Linked DNA regions of Caenorhabditis elegans. The protein of the gene in region 1 interacts with the protein of each later gene in a pairwise test. Each region holds a gene or a part of one and is shown in the gene's direction. Other genes may lie near its edges.

The links.
Region 2: the proteins of srsx-36 (region 1) and pkc-1 interact in a two-hybrid assay, tested with the Caenorhabditis elegans proteins (one large-scale study listed by BioGRID).

The regions. Positions count from the first base shown.
Region 1 is NC_003283.11:15,806,075-15,814,384, reverse strand, and holds srsx-36 (G-protein coupled receptors family 1 profile domain-containing protein), read left to right. Parts: upstream 1-4,741; 5' UTR 4,742-4,744; coding exon 4,745-4,845; intron 4,846-4,889; coding exon 4,890-5,002; intron 5,003-5,059; coding exon 5,060-5,168; intron 5,169-5,433; coding exon 5,434-5,547; intron 5,548-5,598; coding exon 5,599-5,732; intron 5,733-5,779; coding exon 5,780-5,981; intron 5,982-6,130; coding exon 6,131-6,266; downstream 6,267-8,310. Other genes in the region: fbxa-69 (F-box domain-containing protein), read left to right, coding at 1-82; nhr-282 (NR LBD domain-containing protein), read right to left, coding at 1,281-1,534, 1,596-2,103; F54B8.1 (C6 domain-containing protein), read right to left, coding at 3,055-3,256, 3,300-3,453, 3,505-3,601; srsx-38 (G-protein coupled receptors family 1 profile domain-containing protein), read left to right, coding at 6,865-6,965, 7,024-7,136, 7,183-7,291, 7,338-7,451, 7,503-7,636, 7,717-7,918.
Region 2 is NC_003283.11:12,026,198-12,035,202, reverse strand, and holds the start of pkc-1 (Protein kinase C), read left to right. Parts: upstream 1-3,071; coding exon 3,072-3,074; intron 3,075-3,126; coding exon 3,127-3,269; intron 3,270-7,318; exon of another isoform or gene 7,319-7,455; intron 7,456-9,005. Other genes in the region: Protein kup-1, read left to right, coding at 1,317-1,471, 1,520-1,744, 2,646-2,876. UniProt on the Caenorhabditis elegans protein: PKC is activated by diacylglycerol which in turn phosphorylates a range of cellular proteins. PKC also serves as the receptor for phorbol esters, a class of tumor promoters. Involved in neuropeptide secretion in motor axons.

The DNA.
Region 1 (8,310 bases):
CGACAACTACAAATTTGTGGTATCGCTTGGAGAATGTAAATTTTACCCATCTTTCTTGGTTTTTTGGGTCAAAAAAGTGTAAACAGTTTTTCGTATAATAAACGTATATTGAAATAATACACCGATTTTTTGATAAAATTGTTTTAACTTTGATTTAAAAAAAACAGGAAACAACAAAACAGGGAAGCAATGTAGAATTTTCTACTAGATCGAATTTGGCGGTGTGGGTCTTATCGAAGATTTTTATCACAAAAATTTGTGGAAAACGCATTCAACACATTAATTGACCATGCGCTCCTATTTTTTAAATGAAAATTCGTTTAATTAAGGAGTTTTTTTCAAAAAAATTCAACATATTGAGGCTACAACTAGAATTTTGATAAATTAAGAACAAAAAAAGAAATTCAGATTTAACCTATTTCGAAAAAAAAAATGCTGAATTTGCAATTTTTAATTTTACATAAACTTTATTCAACAATGCAGCTTTCGAATGTGTAGCTTGTCTTCAGAAAAAGTTCTGGATTTAGTTCTACAAGCATATCATTATTGGTGGCAATGGGATGACGTTCAAAACATTCTGTAAATTTCGTGGCAGTTGTCGATCGCGAGTGACCCATTTTAGAACACTCGCAGAACTGCCAACCTGTTTAGAATTTTGATATATTGCCACCACTACATCTTACAGTCTGTTATCGTGGTGAAACCCTTGCTAACGTCAAACTGTGAGTAGTTTGCCAGGAAACATCACTGATGGGTTGAGCAATTGATTTTGAAATCAAAAGTCCACCAGACCCAATCAAATGACAAACGTAAACATTTTTAAATTATGCATCAGTGCGTGAGAAATTGTTTCATTTTAGCGAAAATTTTAAAGATATCCCCTTGTGATGTCTGTTGCAAATGTTAGTATCAAAGTATAAGACACATCGAATGTGCCCAAAAGGTTTTTAGTCTTACGTTATGCTATATTATTCACAATTAATAAAATCAAACGTATGGTGTTTTTCGATTTCTTGTAATTTTGAATTTATTTGAAGATACATTTTGTTTCTGGATAAATATGAAAATCAATTAATTTCAGCTCACCAACTGTTGTTGAAGTTTTCGTAAGTACGGCTGGTCTCAGAATTGTCATAACTTTCACAAAATACAAATTTAGTATCGCAAACTATTTATATGAAAGTATAAGTATACCATCAAAGCATTGCCATATTTCTGTGGGGATTGCAGTAAATAAGTATTTATTAGAAAAATAATTTATAGAGTTAATTCAGGCTTCCTCACAACAAGTTAAAGCCTTTTTTCACAATATCATCCAGTTGAAACTCTGGATTAGTCAACTGCAAGAATACAAAGTATCGATTGAGATCTTCATAGTGTTGCCCAACAACTTGAAATACGTCCAATAATTTTGTGAACCTGATTGGACCATCTTGATAAAAAGTAAGCATACAATATTTAAGAAGACTTGAACTGTAATAACTTTGGAACGAAGATAGAAGAAGGTTTCCCGTATCTGAGAGATCTTCAATAGCTGCAACAAATTGTACATTTTTGGCAATTGAATTAAACTGAGAGTGAGCTAGATTACATACCTGGACTACTAAATATCAATACCAATAGTAATAAAAACTCCTCGTTTGTAATTTGAAGCTCACAACATTTGGCAACCAATCTGAATTTGATCCGTTCTCCGAGTTCGATTCCCAAATCCTCTATCAAAATATTCGACCCATCGGGAAATGTCAATTGTTTCTCTCCCAACAGATAATATCGAAATGCTTCACAAAAACTTGCGACTTTCACAAAATTCTTTTGTAGAATAAACGATTGATCACGTGAACTTGATTGATATACGAATGGGAATTTTCTCAAAAAATCCGAGGTAGAAACTGCAACCAGATAAAACCAATCTCTATAGTTCATAGGATGACATCTAGGGATGTACTCTATAACATCGTTCTGGACGATTTGCCCAATAGTGTAATCTCTATATTTAGGAATAGAGTTTAAATAAAGTGTACAACGATTGAAATTCACTTCTGATATAAAATCAGTCAATGGTTCCAGAGATGTATTTTGGAGCAATGACTTGATGTTCATGCCAACTCGAATGCACTTTTGAAATCTGCAGAATTAAAAAATTGAGCTGAGATGGAAGAAATCGAAGAAAAGAGGTGGGAACTTTTTGTTGGAGATTTTTAATCAATTTATTAAATGAAATTCCCTAGAACGTGTTTTAAAAAATTGGTAACTAATTTTTCCAGAAGACATGCGATTTCTCGTTAAATTTGAAAATCTGGTGTCACAGCAAACGACTCGAATGGAATTATCGTCAACCTTGACTATTTACGAGGTTCAAACTCTCATTTTTCCCGGAGAAAAGTATTAGGTTGAGCTTCGAGGTGTTTCACTGGAAAATAACACTTTAGTTGCAATGTGGTCACAGGAAATTCGAGCAGGTAAAAGAGAAACAATCAAAATTTTTTTAATTTTCACTAAAGTAAAATGTGTGTGTTTTTTTTTTTGAAATCCAAAATTTAAAACTCCCCTGAAAACTTTTTGTGAAAATATTAAAATTTGAAATTCGCGCCAATTTTTCTTTGAACAAATTTGAATTTTGATTTCCTTTTTTTTTTTAATTTTCAGAATTTTGCCCTAAAGAACTCGCGGATCTCCTCGAGAAATGTCACGTCTTCATTGGAAAGGAAACTGCTCAATTGCAAGAGATAAAAAATCTCTATCGGTGCAAACCGAAACCATACTGGGATTATATCTACAACTTCAGAGGCAAAGTGATGGAAAAATACATCAAGGATGATAACGGCCAGCCAGGAAATCTCAAATGGGTTTTACTATGTAGTATTTGTTTTTGATTTTTAATAAAGTGCATTTCCTAAAAAAAATTTCTTCAAAAATATTATACCTCCTACGAGCCGTGCTCATACATAGCAATGAGTCTACTTAAAGCCTTCTTTCTTGTTAGTCATTTCACAAATATGAACACTATTTCCGAAAAATTTATTTAAAAAAACAAATTTATAAACAAATAGCTCATAAATTTTTGCATTCTATGCTTGAAATGTCGTAAGAATGTGCATCATCATCAATATACACCCACCATGTGCCCGAATATGCTCCTGTTTCAAAACAGTACACAACTTGAGGTGCACCATTCGTATTTCCGGAGATAACAGTGACCCCATTGATCAATGTAACTTTAATAAAAGTTCCAGCAGGACATGTGAATTGGCTTCTGCAATTTTTTTTATTCTTGAGAGAAAGCAGCAATAACCTACGAGCAAACGTCGGGTAATGAGGAAGCCTCCGGAGGCCCCACGCCTAAAGTATAACTGACTGGAACCTGAGCAGCTGTAGAGCACCAATTTGATGCACTTGGAAGTCCAAATCCTTGGCAGCCAGAGTTGTAAATTTTTGAGCAAACATTGCAGGCTGAAATAGAAAAATATGAGATCAGGTCTAAAAAACGGTTTCAAAACTCACGGAAAGGTGCTTCAGTCGGTGGCTCAATTTGTTGAGTGGGAATACAAGCAAGCAAACCTTCAATTAAACTCAAAAATATGAGAAGCTGCTGGAACATTATTAAAAAATATTAGGAATAATAAATCAGATTAAATAAAAGTACGATATCAAATTAATCGACAACATTCTTTTTTTGATCCTCCTCTCTTTGCTAAGATTACGTAAGTGATAGGATTATCCAGTTTCATGAGGGATAAACAGCAAATCAGGTGGGACAAATGATCAAGATCAAACAGAAAACTGTCAAATGCACTAAAGTGAACAGAATGTAGCAGCCGACGTCTAACGGGGTTTATTTTGAAATTGAACATATTTTTGACATTTTAATTACACCTTCAGATACATATTAAAAAAGAACCTTATAATATGCTTGGTAGTCATTTGATACCTTCCGAACAACTTTAACATTGATTAATCTACGATAGAAATATTCTAGAAAATCAGAAAAGTTTTTTTTTCGTCTTCTTAAAAGCTGAATGATTTCTTTAAAAAATTGTACAAAACTTCCAAAATATTTCAGATTGTATCTATCGAGTCTATAGCCTATAGCCTAGAGCGAAAATTGCGCTTTTTTAAAGATCAAAAGCTGTTGGTTATCACATTAATCATCGATCAGTTCTGATACTTTTCGCGCAAATGATTGGCAAAAGATCCAGTTTTTAAAAAAGTGATAAGATTGATATACAAACAATTGATATGTAAAATGAAAATGGTTCAAAGTGGCAAAACTGTGTTAATAAATATCACAAAAACTGTAAGTTTGTTCATTCGAATTTTGGTCATGAATTTTGGGAAACTTTTTTGTCCACCGCGGGCACAAATTTCAGACCACCTGATGAACATAGAACAATGTATTGTGGCTTAACAACTTATTCACCTGCAGACTCGTGTATTACTCAAACCAAGCGTTGGTTTGAATCTATTTTTTTCCAAGACGCAAATGTTGAAAGTTATATATTTTGTGCCTCACAATGTTTTTCCAATAATAAACCTCAGAAGTTCCAGATCGGGTCTTGTGAGATCACAGCTGAATTCGAGAAACACGTTTTATTTTTCCTTGTTTCATGTCTCGCGTGTATTATGTGTAGGCGGAACAGTAAAAACTATACATGTGCCGGAAATGTGAATAGCTTCCTGTTATTACTGTCTACCAGTTGTTTTCGCGCCCAGTTCATTGTTCTGGTATCAGCTTTTTGAGAAAATGGAGCTTCTTCTCGTCATCCTTCTGTTCCTATATTCCACAATTTTTATTGTTGGTTTCACTGGAAATTTGTTCATGGTTTTGGTTACACTGCATAGCAAGTTAGTTTTTTTTTGATAAGTTTCACTATCATATCGATTTTCAGCAAGCTCCGTTCAATTTGTAACATATTAATCTGTGTCTGCTGTTTCTGTGATCTTTTGCTTTTCACCGACGTCATTGCATTTGTAGTGTCAATGCTTACACCATTAACTCAAGGTATGCTAAAACTTTTTAAAAAAAGTTATTCAGAATCTTCGAACTTATAAAATTCAGAGTTGTGTTTCTACATCAGTATTCCTGCGGATTTCGGAGCTTTTGCTTCAAATGCATGTGTTTTGGCTATTGGGATTGATCGATTAATTGCAGTAGCTGCTCCCACAAGGTATAATTTGCCTGCTTTTTTTTGGAAAATTGAAAAGCAAGAAATTTTCGTTTTTAGATTTTCTAAGGGGTTGTAAGTTATACGATATTTCGCTTTTCACCTGTCTGAACATTGTGGTTTATATCCACAATGGTATTGTTAAAATGAACACACAACTTTGTGAGATCTTTGAATTAGGTAACTAAACTTTTAATTTGACTTACATTTATTATTATTATTTTGGAATCATTTTCTTTTCACGCTATTCCTACAATAACTGTTTTAGATACAAATTGCTGGAAAACGAACGCTACAAGTATTTGTTTCTTCAAATGACGTTTCCAGTCATCTATTCTTCAACTTTATTGATTATGGGATTTGGACAACGTGATCCAAGAAGGTGAGGTTTTAAATTAAAATTTCAAATTTTAAAACTAATTTTCATCTTTAGAAATGTGGTCTGTCTACTCCCAGAATCATTGGGTCATGCTTATGACATGTTCGCTCTTTCTTCCTTTGGCATTAATCTTTTTGTACCGCCGATCTACGCATACGTGTATTTTAAAGTCAAAAATATGAGTGACAGTGAGCTGCCGACAGTTTTAGAGTTTTGAAAATGTAGAAACATTTAGATAATTCTATCAAAACCGTTTTCAAATCACTATCGGTTACTGTATGGTTTGTCGTGTGCGGTTGGATGACAACTGACTTGATTGGTGCGCTTACAGTAATACTTCCGATGGATAGGAGCGTGGCAAGAATGGTTCAGCTCTACTGTGGAACTTTTATATTCACGTCGAGTGCTTTTAATGCAGTTGTGTATTATAAATTCAGGTAATTTATATTTTCTGTAGGGCTTCCATGCAGGAGTCGAAACTTCAGCCTCACAGACGTTCAAAAAATAGACGAGGAGGCCGGTAGGTATTAGGCAAGGAAGTCCTAGAAAAGCATCCAATGTGAATTAAATTATGGTTTTATTTCAGCCGTGACTATCGTTCAGCAATGCGTACAATGCTGGGTCTGTCCAATGAAGTTTCCATAGCTGATATTAATATCTATCAACAAGCTTCCGATCCACCAAAGTCAAGTAATCAGAGACCATTTACAAATACAAGCTGATAACTTTTAAAATAAAAAAGTGGTCTTTCACTCATGTGTGCTTTTTGTTTGAATACTCTAAATTTTGTGGAAATTATGTTCTACAAAAATTTATCCATACTTTTTCAGATCTCTGAAAACCGTGACTTTTACAGGAAACGTTTTACAGAATAACTAGAGCGACGCATTTTCTCAGAATTTCTCTGAGAATTGTTGATTACCAAAAAAAAAAATCAAGTTCCATGTTAATTCAGTTGAAGAACACCAACTGTTCAGGGAACACATTTCAATTTGTTAGATTCCTGCAGGCAATTGTATTATTTAAATGCAAAAGTATTGTTTTTATCATAATTGTCTTTAACTGCAAAATGATGTTATTAAATAGTCTGTTTGCCTGTTTTCCGATAAAAAACAAAAAAAAACCATTTGCATAATTTGTATTTCCTGCTTTACTCTTTTCTTTTTATTCATTACCGCCCCTACCTATTTGATTTACGAGACTTGTGTTAACTTTACAACCACTTCATAGTTATTGCCTTTTTTCGTGCTTTTTTTTTCAATTTTTGAATTTTCAGACTTGAGTTAGTTGAAGCCCATTTTTGCATTTGACACCCAAACAATGGAGTCTCTTCTTATTATCCTTTGCTGCATCTATTGTACAGTTTTTGTGGTCGGAACAACTGGAAATTTGATAATGGTTATGGTGACTTTTTATTGCAAGTATGTACATTTCTATTTTTTTTCTTTTTTTTTTTTTTTTTTAATTTAATTCTTTCAGAAACCTCCGCTCGATTTGCAACATTCTAATCGGATTCTGTTGCTTCTGCGATCTACTTCTTTTCACAGACATAATTGCTTTCATGATCTCTATGTTCATGCCCATTACTCAAGGTAGATAAGCAATTCAAATGTAATTCTTATTAATGCTTACCTTTAGAATTCTGTTACTTTATGAGCATCCCCGCAGATTTTGGAGCATTTGCATCGAGCGCATGTGTACTGGCTGTTGGAATTGACCGCCTTATTGCTGTAGCTCTTCCGGCAAGGTAGTTCAAATATTGATAGATTTGGGCGTTCAGTTCAAAATTTAAGATATAAAACCTTGGAACACGATCGTTTCTGGTACTTATTAATATTGATAGCTTTCCCTGTTGTATATGCATTGGCGTTACTGTATATTGGATTCACACAGCGAGACCCCGGAAGGTATGCAACACAAAATTGAACTAGCTGCTTACATACGTTGAGATATTCCAGAATCGTGGTTTGTCTAGTTCCCGAATCGCTGGGACATGCGTATGACGTGTTCGCGCTCACTTCTTTTGTCATTAACCTTTTCGTGTCACCAATCTATGCCTATGTCTACATGAAAATCAAAAAAATGGGATTGAGTAAGCTATTTTTCAATTTTAATAGTGACGGAAAACAAAAACACAAAATACAAAATAATTGAGGAACCACAAATTTCCAGACAGCTCAATGAAAGCGGTTTTTAAGTCACTCACGATTACCGTATGTCTTGTGCTTTGTGGTTGGATGGCTACAGACACAGTCGGAGCACTTTCACTAACACTTCCGATAGACAAGAATGTGGCCAGAATGATGCAGTTGTACGCAGGAGTTTTCATTCTTTCTTCTAGCTCTTTCAATGCATTTGTTTATTATAGAATTAGGTACGATATGGGTGAACATCTTTTCCGGTAGTTTGCAGTGATTCAAATTATTGGTTTTGTTTGCCAAACTTCAAGTTGGAACTTTGTCGCTGAATTTTTAAACTTTTAAAATGTATTCGAGAAATAAGCCAAGACTAAATTAAGTAATTAACCTTAGTCGCTTATTCCTTGAGTAACCTTTGATAGTTCATATTGAGGAAGCATAAAGACCTTGGACAAACTTTGGTCGGACCTAGGCCAGATTATGTTTCAGATGTTGAATATGTGCCAAAATTATGCTTACCTCAACTTAGAACTAGCCAAAAAATCCAAAACTGTGCACCAATCTGACCAAACTTTGAACTCATTTATTGTAAAATAAAGAACGACAAATTCTTTAAAAGCATCATTTA
Region 2 (9,005 bases), 3.8 Mb from region 1:
TGATAGAAATTAATCAGTATGTATCGCCTACGCATTCTCATTGGTCCTACTCTACATTCATATGCAAAACAAATTAAAAAGAATAATAGTACTCGAAAAAGAATGGAGAGTGTGTTGTGTTAGTTTAATGTTTCTATCTCAATCCGTCATTCTGACGGTTAATAATACCGCTTACATTGTCATTATTAGTTTTCCCCTTTCTACTACTACTACACAGTTGGGTCGTTGTTCACACCGTATCCAATCGAGAGGATAACCCCTTTCTACTACTTCTCTGTCATATAGTAGATCGCGTCGATATGTTTGTATGTTCTTTTGTCGTCGATCCTTCTCGATTGACGATTGACCGACGCGTGTTATGTTTCCCATTCTGTTTAGGGGAGAATCGACCCGTTGTTTTGAAATGGAGCAGTCACCAGTAGCCGCACAATGAAGTAACAGGATACTGGGTCAACTCGCATCATTCACTTCCCTACAATGTCGAGCAATGTGTAACCTAGATGATCTGATTTAGGGATCATCATGTGTATTTCAGATACAGAATTATTATATTAAAATTTAAATATGAAGCAGCTTAATTTGGAATTTTGCTTAGGAAAATCAAAAATGTCACAGATGCAGAAATACCACAGAAGAAAAACATAAAAATCCCAAAATAATGGAAAATCCTTCTATTAAGAAAAACGCTATTTTAAATTTCAGAACTTCCTGTATGAATTCCCTCTAAAATAAGAGGACTCGCCCACTTGCGGGTCAATCAGAAATTTTGATCACCACGCAATCCGTCTAATTGGTTTAAAAGTGGGCCGAGCGAATCGCTGATTGGTCGCAATTCTTATTTTGGAGGGAATTCAAACAGGGAATGTAACATCGCGTTTTTTTTTCAAAGTAGGATATTCATTATTTCACGATTTTTTATTCGTGTTTCCTTTCTGGTGTTTCTGAATTTGAGACTTTTTTGGATTTTCCTAAGCAAAATTCCACGCTACTCCACCTTTAAAAAATATACTTATCTCCCCTAACTTTGATAATATTGTTTTCCATACTCATCCACATAATCATATTAAAATTGTCCAATAAAAGACCTCCCATCAGAGGTGTCGTAGATGAGCACGAGGGTAAATATAGAGTTGATGGGAGGACAATGAGTATGGTGTGGATGAACGGATGTAATCGAGTTTGCTTATGCGATTATTCTGCTTTTGACATTTCATTCTTTATTATGAGGCTTGAGTAGGCAAACAAGCAACTAGTCTTCAAATCTTTGATGAAGAAAAATAGATCAGAAGATCTTAATAATTTCAAAATGTTTTCAGAAAAAGGAATCGTCGCAAGTGAGAAGAACAACGAATTTATTACTGTAGACATAAATGCTCGCGAGGTTCCAAATGGAAAATGGAGAGTATTAACAAAACACGTTCCAGCCAACATGTTCGTCATTATTCGATATGCAACGACGGATGAATATCAGGTTGAAAATGAATTTACTATAAAAAAAAACAAATGTTTCCTATTTAAGACAATGGTAACATCAGATCGGAGTCAAGTTAAAAAGACCGGCGTAAAACGTGGAAATGATTCGTTTTGGACACATGAGTCATCAAATCGTGGAGGATTGAATGTATTCGATAAAGAAGGAAAAGAACTCGAATGGGATTATGAGCATGATACAAGATTTTACAACGAAGATAAAAATGAGGAGAAAGTCGAGAAAGTGAAACTTCCACAGGGAATCAAAATTAAAGTGAGTTTTTGAATTCAAATAATTCATTAACGGTAGAGTAGATTCGATTTGGAATTTGCTTTAAATTATAGAAAATGAATCATAATGTAACAGAATATAACTGTTAAAAAAATGTTTAAGATTTTATTTTCACTTTTGCAAAAATTTGAAAATTGGCTAATTATTTTTGAATTCCCACGCAAGTTAATGACCTAGTTTTGACATTTCGGCGTTTTCTGGTTAAATTAATTAGGGTTAATAGTTTCTCTTCTCAATATTTCAGATTAAAAAACACTAAAGAAGTTTCTGCGAATTTCTTTCATTAAGTTAAGTTCATTTTCTTGCGCGGAAATTCAAAAATAATTAGCCCATTTTTATGATTTGCAAAATTGAAAATATCATTAAAAAAATTTAGAAAAAATTATATAATTTTTTAGCAATTATTTTCAGTCATTACAGAGAAGGAATATGCAAAAGAAGTGATGAAATTTGTAGAATGTTCCTATTTTGTAGATTTTTTAGTTTCAGCAGGTATTCAACATTAAACTCGATTTGCTTTTTTAAATGGTTATTTATGATATCTCATCGTTCCTGCAGTACCTTAGTTCTAGAATATTTCAAAAATCAGATTTATTTAAATTTAATTTCAAATACCATATTTCTTTTATATTGTTAATTTCCCAAAAGTATTGCGGTTTTTATGTAGAGATTCGATCAAATTGTTTTGATTATTGTGTCACAAAGATAGTAGTTATATGTTTTTTTCTGCAAATTACGAAAAATTAATGTGAATACTAAAACGGTCTAGTTTTTGAGTGGATCTCTCAACAAAACATAGTTAACTGAAGAAATGCATTATTTATGATCTTATATTTTTCACAAAATACTCACAAACTCTAAAATGTTATAAAATAATTTTCAGGGTCGAGGAGCTGTGAAATGCGGATTTCTTTTCGGCGAGGGAAGTAGTTCGTTAGCTTCTGATGACACCACTCCAGTCAAGAAACGGAGAACTGATGAAAAAGATTACGAAAAGGATGATATCGTATCACGGCAAGGGTCTTCTGCACACGCCATACGACCTGGAAGAGTTGAACGTCCAATTCGAGAACGGATTCAATTTCCTGGAAGAGAAGATCCAGATGAATATTAACAATATCTCACCACAAACTGTATTTGTTTTTTTAATTTCTCACAATGACCAGATAAATTTATTTGTTTCCATGTTTTGTTATGTATTTTATTTTCTATGAAGCTGTCGGTCGCTTCTATTATACTTTGATCCAGACGATCTTATTCTCAAAACTTACCATTTTTTCAGTAATTTCACGGGTCAATATGTCATAAAATGGTAAGGAGCATGACAAACTGACAAGCAAAAGAATGTTAAATTTTTATTTCAGAAATTCTTCAGTAGTCGGACAATATCATCTGGAGGATTTTGGGGTAAAAATAAGAATAAATACGCGTTGAATGGAAAAGTTTCACCAAAGGATTCAGTGTTGTTAAGGAAGAGGAGGAAGATTATATCAAGACGGTATCGCAGGTTAGTTTTTAATTTATTTTATAAAACTGGGAAATTCTTTGCAAATTTTTTCCGCATAGTTTCCACAGAAAACAATGATTTAGTCAATATCGGTGTTCTTCCTGATTTCTCTCGCTTTCCTGAATGTCTCGCTTTGTTTCAAAAATCTTTTGAAATTCGTTTGTAGTCAAAAAGTGGCAAAAACTCAGTTTTCGCCTAACATCATTTTCGAAGTCGATCAAAAATTCTCTCGTACGAGTTTATATTTTAATTGCGTTAGAATTGTTCGTATTTGAACATTGTAAATTTTAGACCTTGTAGGAATGTTTACAATTTCTCAAAAATCCAACAAAATTGGCAATTTACCAAAAACTGTGGATGGGAATTTTTGAAGTGTTTAATTGTGATATTTGGCCATGTTAGACTAGTATAAGTGTATTTAGGTAAATTCCTCACTGAAAATGTTCCAGCTTTTTTAATCAATTAGAAAGTAATTTTGGAATTTGGCTCAGTAGCTCTTACTGTGTATCATGGCCCGACATCTACCGGGTTGCGCCACTTCTGTGTGTTTTCGAAAAGATTCGCGGAACCCGGTAAATGTCGGACCATTAGTATATAGTAAGACACACTCATTTTTAAGACCCCTCTTTTAATTTAAATATTTTTCCATTGCTTCTTGAGAATCTGAATTTAAATATCTTTCGCTAATCTGAAATTTAAGCGCAGGTGAAATTTTTCGTGAGTATCGTGTTGAATTAAGTGAAAAACGTTATCACCTGTTTCTGCCAAACACTCAAAAATGGTGATAATTGTAATGAGGCAAACTCCAATTTATAATTAAATTTCTCATAGAGAACTATTGTTATAAGTTTATAGAACTATAGTATTTATCTCGTAAATTTGGATAATTTGCAAAGATTGTAAGAACAATTTAGTTTCATAATGAGATAATACAATTTTTGTTACGTTCTCGATCTGTAATTTCTCTCATCTCATCCGGATAAATGAAATAAGAGGAAAACCGATTCAAAGACGACGTCCAACGTAAATTTGCTTCCTTCATTTCTTTTTCTCCCCATAACTGAGAGTTTTGTGCATAAAAAAGTAGCTGTTGAAAGGCGCAATTCGAAGAAAAATGCGAGAGGGAAACAAGCTGTTGCTCTCTTGCTCTTTCTTTTTTCCTTTCTCACTTCCTTTAGATCTTGTTCGTTCAGTTAGCTCCCAGCCTCTCTCTCTCTCTCTTCCGATTCACTTCACTCACTTAAAAATGTATTCATATGTACCATAAAACTATTTTTCGTCACACTAAATGCAGCCCATGCGCTGAACTTTTTGCAACTTCACACTCAAAATTCTCTTTTTTTTTTGTTCTCGTCATCAGTTTTTCGCCGCTGGCTCTACCGGAATCTCTCGATGAAAAGATTTTTTACTTCGAGTATAGTGAGCTCCCTTTTCTTTTCTATTTTAGCTTAAGGCGGCGGCAAATTCTGTATACAAAATAGAGACGCATAGAGAAATGCAAAAAAGGAAGAAGAGGAGCGGCAAAAATGCAGATTTTTCTCATCAACTGCTCGTGAGACCGAGCATTCAAGCATCACATTTGTTGAGATGGTCACGGTGTTGAAATACTTTTTTTTGTTGTTATATCGAGATAGAGTTGTATACAGAATGGAAATTAATCTGATATTTAGAATAAAAAGTGCTAGTTTTTAGTCAATTTTACGTTGTTCTGATTTATTACATCGACGATCCTTGATGCCAAACTAGAGATTTTCGAATGTGCATTGGGCAAAATATCTCGTAGCGAAAACTACAGTAATTCTATGAATGTGTCGATTTATGGCCTCGATTTTTGAAATGAATTTATTTTCAAACAGTAAGTAACATCGATATTCCCATTTCTTTTGTTTCTTCGGATTGTTTTCTTTTTATTTTGCTTAATTAAAAAAAACTATCGATAAATTAATGATTTTAATTCATTTCAAATATCGAACCCGTAAATCGACACAAGGGCTACAGTAGTCATGTAAAGAATTACTGCAGATTCCGCTACGAGTTATTTTGCGCGTCAAATATGTTGTTCAATACGCATTCTCAGAATTTTGTGTTCCAGTAATACTAGGAGCGAAAAAAAGCACAATGTAAAAAAACAACTTGTGTGCCTTGTTTCCCGCTAGAAATATATAGTAAATACGCTTTCGATCCAATTCCTACGATATTTGTTTGACAGCCGGGTGTTCGTTGTCATTGTTGCAGAAACAAACGCCCACTGGCCAGCACTCGTCATAGTATTCGAAAAGTTTTGGGAATTAGAACATTTTTTTCGATTGCTATCTCTCTGAAACGCAGGTACCGGTCTAGGTGTCGGAATTATTCAAATCACTTCAACCATCACCACCATCATCATCACTGTTTGAGTGCGACAGTACACATTCTATTATTGCAACGGATTTTATTTGCCAGTCAATTAAAAAAAAAATTCACTCAACAGTTATTTTAAGATCACTGTCAATCTCAATAGTTCTGATTAGTACTTATTGAGTTTTTTGGCACTGTATTTTAAATATGATCCTTTAAAAAAAGGGAAAACTGTAAAATTATTATGATTCGAAATTATAATTATATGGTTTCTCAGAAGTGCAATGTATAAATTGTCAAGTACGAGTTATATCTAGTTATGGTAAGTTTATCTGATTATACAAGATCACTGAAATTTGTAGAATAATAGGTATTACGATAACATTCATTTTTTACTAGCTAACATTATGTATGTTTCTGCACAAAACATTAGTATTACGCATACAAAGACATTTTTCGGTGAAGTGTTCTCAAAAACTTTTTTTGCTAGGAAACAGTATCCATGAAACAAGTGAAGCGCGGCGCGGAGTAATGCTGGGCTCCGACATTTTGTTAGCTTTCTTTAGACTCAAGTAAGCACAAACTATTCAATTCTATCACATCTGCGAATACTCACTATTTTTGTAATGAATTTTCTCAATTTCAAAAGGAAGAAACTAGGAAAATCATCAGAGATTTCAAATATGACTCCGAGAAAAAATATATTCATGTAGGTTTCTATGTTCGTTTTGTGGTTTTCTTTTGCGTTGGTTCGAACGTTCAAAGATCCTTTGTTCATCTAAACTGATCCATTCACTAGCACCAATTGCTGGTCCGTAGTCCCTTTTTCTCATGGACGTCCAATGTAACTTTTTTCTTTTTTATTTTTCAAACTGCGCGAAAACACGGACTCATTTCTGTTTCCCTCTCTTTCTCTCTCTTAAATATACACTCACACATATACACATCCACATATACTCGATTTTCCACGTCATTGGGTTTAGCTGAAAAGATGGGCTCTCTTCTGTCCTTCGAGGAAGAGCATTTTCATAATCTTATTCGTCTTCAACTTTACTTTTGATCTTTAAGAACAAAAACAACAGTCTGTTAAGTATATTGATATATTGTGTGTTTTTTAAAACATAGGTATACGAAATTCGTTCTTTTATCGTTGATCCCATTGCATATTGTTCACACCTCCTCTTACTTCATTTCCGGGTAGATCAGCACAGGATTAATGTACACAACGACTGCGACTCTTTTCAAATAGTCGCCCTTGTTGTCATCGACGTCGTTGGTCGTCAATGACGGTCGCGTCATCGTGGCTTTAGAATCAAATTGTTGGAATACTATGGATCTCATATGTAGATGATATCTCTTTCTCCCCCATCCTCAACGAGTTCCAAAATATCTATCAAATTGGATGAGTTTTCACCGGATGTATCAAGTAGGAAAAGCTTTTAGCCTTTAATTTCTAACGCTGGAGACGTTAGAGTCTTTAAAATTAGTTCATCGTTTAATTTATAAAATTCTTAATTCTAAAATTTTTGGAGCTATTCTTCTCAAAGATATTCCGTTGTTCAACATTGAGACATGTTATTACTGATATTTCCAATATACTAAACGAGTCATATAAATCTTTTCTTTCAATTGACCATTTTATTAAGACGGATTATACGTGTACTAACCCTTTCACTGGGTTCATTCATTTCCATGCTAGGCGCGCGTGCCTCACACGACCAGTATAATCGACACATTTACGAGAGCATCAAATTGAAATGAGATATTTTTGCCTTGAGCGAATTTCGTAGACCAAATGAACTAAAATGTCTATTTGTATGGAATTGGTCGCAATTTATCTTTCTCTCACCCTCTCATACACCTTTCATCCGTTTTAGGAGTACGGTAGTTTCAGAAGTCGAGTGGATTTTTACATTTTGTTGCTGAATTGGTTATGGAAAGTTGTAAAATCGATTTTGCCGTCAAAATTTTCGAAATAGTCTCAACTTGCAAAATACCACAAAAGAAAAACGAAAAAAATCGCGAAAAAAAAATTAAAAATTCAATTTAAAAAACTTTATTTTTCAAATTTGACTAAACTCCCTGTTTAAATTCCCTCCAAAAAGTTTATGTAATTCTTTTGCTATTTTTTTGGTCACATCTGCGGAAAAAATACTCTGAAAGAAATCCTTAAAATGATTTTAACTTGGTGTAAGGTGAAGTCTATCAAAAAAAAACTTTAAAGATGTAACAGAAAACATGGGAAAGATATTTTGAGATAGAAATCAAAACGAACATTAGTGACACATGCCCCTCTTGCATTTCATCACATTTAAACATACAACAAACTGATGGCTACAGCCATCCGATTCTTCTTCTTCTTCTGCTCCTCTAAACTTCTTTCATGTGCCCTCATCCTAGTTCTCGTTCTTCTGTTTTTCTGCTTCTTCTTCTCATTGCTTCACTTCTATTCTCTCTTTCTCTTTCGGTGGCTCACTCCGTTGTGCCATTTCTCGACGATCCTGCTTCTTCTTCTTTTCTTCATCTCTTTCTCTCATCTCGAGACTACTGCTTCCGCCGCCATGCTTCTTTATAATGTGCATAGGCATGTGTGTATGTTTGCGCGAGCTGCTTTTGCTCCTGCTTCTGCTACTGAAGCTCTCTCACTCACTCTCTTTCTCTTTCTGCATGTGAGAGCCGAGATTTAAGTCAGTCAGTAGTCGTCCTCTTCTCAATCGGCCAGCTATTTTCTCCTTTTTTCTTCATTTTTCCTGTCAATCTAGAAAAAAATGAGATGAAGTCTTATGAAGAGAACACTCTATAAGTCTAGCTTGCAACGTCAAATGTTAATCGAAGAAATGAACCACATGGAGAGAGAGAGTAAGAGTAAAAGAGAAGCTCATGAAATCCGATACGCTGTTTCGTAAATTGAAGCATTCTAATTTGAAACAGTTAGGAAAGTGTTTGAATTTATTAATTTATCAAATGTCATTATTGCCTACATTAGCGGAACTCTTACTGATATCGATTATCATTTAGAACTTTCAGTCAGTATTCTATCCAAAATATTATGTTGTTTATTTTCTGAATATCATGTGATCAATTGATTTTATCGTAGTAGAATGTAAACGCGAATTTCTGTGCAACACATCTAGAATGATTACTTTACTTATAGTCATTTCAACTTTGAGTAGATGCTCACTTAAGAAATAAATGTAACTAACGTAGTATTTTTGAATAGATTTAATCAAGTTGAAGGAATCAAATCTTATTCACTTCTACCGGCTCGTAAGTTCTGCAGTCGTCTTCCTATGGATGTAAATTCCTATTGGACAGAAAAATGTTGATTTCCCAATTTTCTTGTTTCCTCTTGTCATCCCATCATCATTATAGTCGTACCTTTTTTCTTTCTATTTCTGT